2 linked regions of the Macaca mulatta genome follow. The protein of the gene in region 1 interacts with the protein of each later gene in a pairwise test. Links are inferred from orthologs where the notes say so. Each region holds a gene or a part of one and is shown on either strand. Other genes may lie near its edges. The genes, in order: alpha-2-macroglobulin and C14H11orf58.

Region 1 (4,418 bases):
CAAATCTGAAGTCAATCCACTGATTACTCCTCTGAATACCTTAATATTGTCGACAAGTTCCTTTCTGATTTGAAGCATCAGAAAGGAGTATTTCCTCCATACCAAATAGTTTTCATTTCATGCATGTGCCGTGATTCTTCTCCCTCCCAGACCTTTGCGTCTGTCATTCTTTATGCTTAGAAAGCTCTTTTCATCTCCTTGTTCTTCTAGACAACCACTACTCATATTTCAGATCTTAATTTACATTTTGCTTTCCCTCCAAATTTTTTTAAAAGGTTCCAAGTCTGGGTTATGTGCCCTTCCTATGTGCTCCCAGAGCATCCTGAACTTCTCCAATAATATGTTTGGCTACTGTATTTTATACAGTAGTTTTATATTGTATTTTATACTGTATTTTATACAGTAGTTGTTTTTCTGTTTTTCTGCTTTTGCCTCCACAAGAATGTAAAAACCTTTAAGTGCCTGTTTTCATACTGATTTGACCACTCTATCTCGAGAATCTTGCATGATGTCTACTCCTAGTAGGATCAAAAAATACTTACAAAGCAGCTGAATAGCTACATAAATAGATGGATGAATAGGATGGATGGATGGACTAATGAAACTGTTTATATGACTTAAAGTTTGCAGAGGAGTATCATATTTGGAAGGCAGTAAGGAAGTTTGTGTAGTCGATGCTAAAGGCAGTTGGGAAGTCTGTTAGGCACAATAGGTCAAAATTTGTTTTTAAAGTCCTGTTACTTCACCTTTCTTTGTTTCACTTTCTTAAAACAGGAAACTCTTTGCTATGATCATTCTTTCAGGGCCTGGCTCTTCATCTGCAATCCAGTAATATCCCTAATGTCAAAAAGCTACCGGTTTAATTCATGTCATTTTCAAAGAGGACTACAGAATTCTGATGTGGCTTCAAACATTTAGGGTAGGCATATCTAATGGAGAACTTGCAGCCACGCTGACTTGTAGTGAAATATCTATTTTGAGCCTGCCCAGTGTTGCTTAAATTGTAGTCTCCCTTGCCAACTATTCATACAAGAGATGTGAGAACCACCATAAAAGGCGTTGTGAGGAGTTGTGGGGGAGTGAGGGAGAGAAGAGGTTGAAAAGCTTATTAGCTGCTTTACGGTAAAACCCAGAGAAAGTGAGCTCTTACGGGAATGTGGCTTTAGCCCTCCAGGGATTCTATTTAGCCCGCCAGGAATTAACTTTGACTATAAATAAGCCATCAATGACCTTTCCAGAGAATGTTCAGAGACCTCAACTTTGTTTAGAGATCTTGTGTGGGTGGAACTTCCTGTTTGCACACAGAGCAGCATAAAGCCCAGTTGCTCTGGGAAGTGTTTGGGACCAGATGAATTGTAGGGAGTAGGGTGTAATACAGTCTGGTCTCCTCCAGCTCCTTCTTTCTGCAACATGGGGAGGAACACACTCCTTCATCCAAGTCTTGTTCTTCTCCTCTTGGTCCTCCTGCCCACAGATGTCTCAGTCTCTGGAAAACCGTGAGTTCCACACAGAGAGCATGAAGCATTAACCTAGAGTCCTTCATTTATTGCAGATTTTTCCATCATTCCTTTTTCTTTCCTATGATACTGTCGCCTTCTTGTCTCTAAGGTTCCTTGCAGATTTTATAAATCTGGTTTACTCATTACTTGCTTATTTTTCATCATTCTTCCCCAACTCTCTGAATCTGTAATATGCAAAGCCTTCCTAAGGAGTGTCAGAAATTTTTAGTTTTTTTGAAAGAATAATATTTAGATTTTCCTGTTCATATTGATCTACTTGAGACCATGCTATTTATCTTTTCTTATTTCCTCTTTCTTAAGGGTCCAGTTTCTATTTTATAAAAATAAAGACAATTATCTCCCACAACCAAACATGGAATAATGCCCTGGAGTATAATAATCTGTAGACTGCCAAATAAAGGAACAATTTGAAATACTGGTGTTGATATTGAAAAAGCGAGAGATTCTAATGTCAGAAGAGAAAACCCTTTTGCAGATGAGGTGGTGATGAATTCTTTGTTTCAACACAACTAAAGAAGGAACTAAAGGAAATACCAGCTGATGAGTGATGAGAAGCAATTCTTGATAATAGAGTACTAGGTGATTTTTAGCATGTAATGCAGAAGTTGCAAGAAGTGGTAACAGTGATGCAATTGTTTTACCTGCCATTTACTTACTTTTACATGAACCATTCTTCTTAGCACTTATATCTACACAAAACAAAATAGTAACAGAATTAATGTTAGATCTTGCTTAATTCTTGCAATACGGACTATTCATCCATGGATACATAAATTCACTGGGGGGAAAAGCAGTTCATCATTCTCATTAAAGATGTGCTTCAAAAGTATTTTAATTTTATATCTAATATGTATGAATCATACTTTGTAATGTATTTATTTTGTTTTGATCAGTTATATACAAGTATTTTTTAAATAGCTCAATCAGAAGGAAATGTTTAATATTTATAAATTTATGGTCACATTCTATTTAAAAGAGGAGTTAAAGTTAAATTTACCTATCCACATATGTTACATATATATGTATTTATGTATATGTATACATATATGTATATATGTGAACATGTGTATACATACATATATGTGTAGATGCTTGATAATAAAGAGGTAAGGATAATTCACAAAATTTTTTGAAATATAAAAATTTAGGATAAACTTCTGTACAGTAATTGGCATGGAAATTCAAATTAGAAAAGGAAAAAAGAAGAGAAAGATATTATATATCAGATCATTAAAAGAATTTTTAATGTATTTTCAAATAGTGATAGTAGGTATCTTATACTACAGTGTTTATTATTCCATGAGAAAATTGTAAAATTAATCTAAGTATTAATTTAAAATATCATCAAAAATAATATCTTTTGCTATTATTTAAAATCATGATAAAAATATGTTTACTTGAAAATATGTAAGGAGCGCACAGTGTCCAAAAATTATTTTAGGAGTTCTGTGAGTAAAACCATATAAAAACTACAGGATTCATCTTAAATTATGTCAGGGTACTGAGAAAGTTTCTGTACTTCACATGAGTTACCAAGGTCTAAAGTCAATCACCAGAGGACCGTTTTTGCATGGAGCCATCGTCTGATCATGAGCTGAAAGGCAAATATTTAAAATGCAAACATCCATGGTTAAGTAACACTCTTAAGACTTTATTAGCTGCTTACCACAACTGAGACTGTAAAGCAATGGCTCACTTTCTTTGAGGCTCAGATTCCATATTTGTGGAGTGGGAGCGGGTACTTACCATACAATTTTCATAGGGCTGCTGAATGTGTGTATATGTGTGTGTGTGTATGTGTGTATATATATTTTAATGAGAATTCTATAATTTGATTAGCTTTTGTAATGTCCGCATGACTGAGAGCTTGCTTACTTTTTACAGCAACTTGAAGGTAAAATAGATTTACAACATGAACAAATGTAACTACATATTTTTATTTGAATTCAGATGTTCAGAAATTGTTCCTTAAAGTGAAACATGCCTACAAATTTTAATCTGTTAATACCTACCTCAAGTAAAATGTCCACTGCCATGGCATGTGAAGGAAAGAAGAAATAATTCTTATGCATGGCCTTCAACAGCCAAATTTCATGCTCATCAGTATGTCTTCTCTTGGTGTAGAACTGATGATGACAATTATTATGATGGGAAAAAGTGCTGTTGATATCAATGCCTCTCTTCCTTCACTTTCCTCTAACTGAACTGTCTCATTCCCAGGCAGTATATGGTTCTGGTCCCCTCCCTGCTCCACACTGAGACCCCTGAGAAGGGCTGTGTCCTTCTGAGCTACCTGAACGAGACAGTGACTGTAAGTGCTTCCTTGGAGTCTGTCAGGGGAAACAGGAGCCTCTTCACTGACCTGGAGGCAGAGAACGATGTGCTCCACTGCGTCGCCTTTGCTGTGAGTGTGGCTGTTTGACTTAATATACTTGGTTATTTTAGTCAGGGTCATAGGGATCTAGTATTCTGTCAAGATGAGGCTTTGGGAGGCTGGTAAGAACTTCAGAAAGAATTCAAATGTAGCAAGCTAAGTATAGAAATTGAAGAGCAATGCATGACTCTCCAGCCATGGGAGACAAATATTTACAGGCACACTAAAAATCCACTTAATAATCAAATAGAAACCTACTAGCCAGAAAGGAAAAGAAAAACAAAATGTGACTTCTTAAAATTAAGATGGAAAAAATATTAATAAAGCAAACTAGGCCAAGGCTCAACTTGAGCCACCAGTGGTGGACTGACGGGAACACATTGCTCCACACTACTTCTAAGAGTAAAAATTGTAGAAATTGCCCTGAGCAAAGGTACAATATCTCTTCAGAGTTGTCCACATGTGAGATGCTTACAGCCTAGTGTCAGTAAAATACGAGTTTTTTTCCATAGCCTTTAAAACAC
Region 2 (4,370 bases), on another chromosome or scaffold:
ACTATTTATTTATTTATTTATTTAGAGATCGAGTCTTGCTCTGTCACCTAAGCTGGAGTGCAGTGACGCCATCTCAGCTCGCTGAAACCTCCGCCTCGCGGGTTCAAGCGATTCTCCTGCCTCAGCACCCCAGTAGCTGGGATTACAGGCATGCGCCACCACGCCAGGCTAATTTTTGTATTTTTAGTAGAGACGTGGTTTCACCATGTTGGTCAGGCTGGTCTCGAACTCTTGACCTCGTGATCCACCCGCCTCAGCCTCCCAAAATGCTGGGATTACAGGCCTGAGCCACCGCCCCCGGCCTAGTTTTTGCTTAAAAAAAAAAAATCACGTTTGTATTCAAGGTGAGAAAGCTTCAGAATTACTAAGGACAAGGATTCTGACAGAAAGTTCAGACCTAGTTACAGATTCAGACACCTTGATAAAGTAGGAGATAGTCTCCAGTATCTTAACAATAAATACTTTTAAATGCAAGGCTTTTTGAGTAGAGGCGCGATTACTTGAATCTGGAGAGGGCGAGAAATGGGGAGGGACTGCTAACGGGCATTGGGGTTCCTTTTGGAGTGGTGAAACGTCTTGGAATCAGAGGTGACAGCCGCACACGATTGTGAATGTACTAAGTGCCACTGGACTGTACACTTTAAGATGGTTTTTATGTGTGAATTTCATCTCAATAATTACTTTTAAAAAAAGTGGGGGGGCTTATGTGGCAGGGATGGACTTTGCTTGGTGAAGGCCCCTACCGTACGGTGCCCAGACATCTGCAGCGAGGTCAGTGAGGAGCACTCCCACCTCACACAAAGCCATATGAAAACTTAACAGATTTCCCTCAGCTGAATCCCCGTTTTCAATAACCGCCAATTAGCCAACATTTAACAACATACTGAACTCATTTCTGTATGGGAAAATAGCGAAATATTCATCAAAACCTTTAGAAAGCAGCATCACCGGCCACCTAGAAATCCCCTACGCGCAATAGAGAACACCGGAGTGGAAATGGTAGAAGCCATTTTTTAAGGTTTTTGTCCTGGGTGGAGAGTATTCGTGAGGATTCAGTCAGCCTGAAATATTACATTTAAACACAGGTGCCTAGTTACGATGATACATTTGCCAGTAGGGCAGCGTCGTGAAAGGCAAAAAGCCCTCTAAGCCACCTCCTGTGGCGACCAAGCTCTCAGTCAACGCTCACCGCCATACTCATCCGCGAGAACGCTCCCTCCACCAGCCAAAGGCGGGGCCTCCGAGGGCACTCCCGCCACACAGCGCGAATTGAGCTTCCGGGCTTCCTGGGAATTGTAGTTTTAGTCACCGACACATCTTTGTTATTCGGGCCAGTATGCGGTGACTCAGAAAACTACAATTCCCAAAGTGCCCCGGGGCGGCGAGGGGCCGCAACGGTGACGACTGTCGCAGAGAAGGCCGGGAGGGGCTCTGCGTTCCGGAGTGGTGCTGCTTGGGCCGGTGGTGGATTGCAGGCTGCTGGTGTTGCGGCTGGGGAGAGCGGCTAGAGGGTTCGGCATTTTTCGTCGGGATCCCTGCAAGGATGAGTGCTGCCAGAGAGTCTCACCCGCATGGGGTGAAGCGTTCGGCCTCCCCAGATGACGATGTAAATAACAATGGCGGAGTGGCAGAGGGTTGAGGCCTACGAAAGGCTGGAGTAGGCCAGGAAGGGTGGTTGGAGGAGGACGCGCCTGAGGTGGCCCGCAGCGGGAGAGCCCAGGGGAGAAACCAGAAGAATGAGTGGGAAATGTCTCCCTTAATCTTTATGAGGGTGAGAAGGTTTGAAGAGGCCCACACGCTGGGAGCCGAAGACCTGCGTAGGAAGGGGGATTGAGGAAGGAAATTCGGAGAGGGTCGAGGAGTGAAAGAGCTTAGTCAAGGGATTTCTTACGTGCGTTTTGGGGGGCCGATGAGGATGGTTTCTCGGGCCTTTGTGCTCACGATAGAGACGGCGAGACTCTCCCTGTTTTGGATTCTAAATGTTCCTGTGACAATGTCGAAATGTTCGTGCACATTTGGACAGATTTTCCTGCCTAGATGATTTTTGCAATGTGCAGTTGATAGTTAACTTTAGCTGCACTAGTAAGGGTAAACCGAGAACAGTATTGAGCCGAAAATTGTGCCACGGGTGTAATTTGGTACTGGCTTTGGTGGTGAGGTCTGAGACGTTGAGACCTAGAAGCCCATTTTGATGTCGGATATTAATACCTTGTTCTTCTTACCTCGTCTCCCCATCAAATGCCGTTCCCTTCTCCAGCCCCCACCTCATAGGTTTTAATAGCAAACGGTTTATCTCTTAAAGTAACCTATTAAATATTTACTGCAGTGCCGGGTGTTGGGAATTCGGAGAGAAATATGATGCTTATTTTAGGCCTTTTTGTATATTTGCCCTAGCTCGTAGCGCAGTGTCATGGAAACAGTAGGTAACCAGTAAACGTAAAAGTAGGTCCTTCATACAATGGATAAATGTCTTGGCAACGTTGATGGGGAAATTGTTGGAGAGGGAGCGGAGAGGTCATCTTTAAGGATGATGAAGGGATATCTAAGTTTTTTTCGGTTTTGTTTGAAGTAGTGTAAATTTCTGAATACATAGAGCTTTTAATTTTTCTATTTCCGTGCTTTTCATAAAATTTTAAAAGCCTACTGAATACTACTTTGTAGCAAATGAGATGGTGTTAAGACCTGCCCCTCTGAGTGGGAGGTGGGGCGAGGACCGGAATAGTAAGGGTCTTTAAAGGAATCGACTTCAGCTCTGCAGAAAGATTAGCTATCAATAAAGATTTGGAGATGAATGGGCATCTAGAGAAGTTTATTCTTGCTCTCTGTTGTTTCTGCTACTGGCTTTTCGATCTTGTTAATATGGTAATTCAGGTTTTGTCAGGAATTGATTCACGTTTTTGAGTAACCTGGCTCACTTAAAAAGCTGTTAACATTGTTTTCCTCCTGATCTTTAAATATGACTTGATTGCTAGGATGTCAGACACCTGTTTGGAAGTATCTTTTAGCGTGACAGAAATCTCCAGGTGATACGAAATTTCACAAAGTTAAAGGGATTAAGTCATTAAGTTTACAGCTTTGGAAGAGATTAGACGACCTTTAAGACCTTTCCCAATCATGTAAGCGTATCTTTAAGTACCTGGGTTTTGTTTTTGTTTTGAGACTGGTGAGACACGGTCTCTCTCTGTTGCCCAGGGTGGAGTGCAGTGGCACAATCAGTGCTCCCAGCAGCCTCCACCTTCCTGGCTCAAGTTATCCTCCTGATTCAACCCCCTCTCCCCACATCACCACCACAGTAGCTGGGACTACAGGTGTGCGCCACTACACCCAACTAATTTTTTGTATTTTTAGTAGAGACCAGGTTTTGCCGCGTTGCCGAGGCTGGTCTCCAACTACTAGACTCGAGCAATCTGCCCACCTTGGCCTCCCAAAGTGCTGGGATTACAGGTGTGAGCCACCTCGCCCAACCAGTACTTTAAAAAAAAAATTTTTTTAACCATAGGTAATACATTCATTAAAAGACCTCCAAGCTGTTGTAGGAAAAAAAAACTAGCAGGCCGGGTGCAGTGGCTCACACCTGTAATGCCAGCAGTTTGGGAGGCCGAGGTGGGCAGATCACAAGGTCAGGAGATCAAGACCATCTGGCTAACACAGTAAAACCCCGTCTCTATTTAAAAAATTAGCCGGCCATGGTAGTGGGCGCCTGTAGCCCCAGCTACTAGGGAGGCTGAGGCAGGAGAATGATGTGAACCTGGGAGGCGGGGCTTGCAGTGAGCCGAGATCGGGCCACTGCACTCCGTCCTGGGCGATAGAGCAAGATTCTGTCTCAAAAAAAAAAAAAAAATCTAGCTGTAACATATAGTTGGGAAACAGTTTCTAATGAGCATCCACGGTATGTAAGAGATCATTGAAGTTTTCTTATGCCCATTGACCTCACATCTAATTGGGGTAACAAAACATTTTTTTAATATTAAAAGTAGATAATCACAGAATACAACTCTAGCAAAATGCTAACAATGTAGGAGTAAATTCTAAGTCACCAGGGTGTGTATTCAGAAGGTAAATTGATTGCAGTTCTGTAGGAAAGGGTATTAAGGATGAAGACAACTTAAAAGTAGTTTCAATGGCTTGGAGTGGAGAAATGAAAGCGATCTTATAGGAAGTGGGAAGAGTGGGGAGTAACTGCTAAGGAACCTCTCTTAAAATGTATAGTGCACCCACGTGCTTTTCAGAAAGCAGCATTTGGACAAGGTACTCACTGTTGCACTTTAAGGCAAGGGTCTCCAACCCCTGGGCCACAGAACCAGGCTGCACAGCAGGATGTGAGCTGTGGGCCAGCCAGCAAAGTTTCATCTGTATTTACAGCCACTCCC

Evidence for each region.
Region 2: the proteins of alpha-2-macroglobulin (region 1) and C14H11orf58 interact in a two-hybrid assay, tested with the Homo sapiens proteins (2 studies listed by BioGRID and IntAct). The link is inferred for Macaca mulatta from reciprocal best matches to the Homo sapiens genes A2M and C11orf58.

The regions. Positions count from the first base shown.
Region 1 is NC_133416.1:11,489,343-11,493,760, forward strand, and holds the start of alpha-2-macroglobulin, read left to right. Parts: upstream 1-1,340; 5' UTR 1,341-1,410; coding exon 1,411-1,496; intron 1,497-3,740; coding exon 3,741-3,924; intron 3,925-4,418. UniProt on the Homo sapiens protein: Is able to inhibit all four classes of proteinases by a unique 'trapping' mechanism. This protein has a peptide stretch, called the 'bait region' which contains specific cleavage sites for different proteinases.
Region 2 is NC_133419.1:48,715,530-48,719,899, reverse strand, and holds the start of C14H11orf58 (small acidic protein), read left to right. Parts: upstream 1-1,371; 5' UTR 1,372-1,543; coding exon 1,544-1,606; intron 1,607-4,370.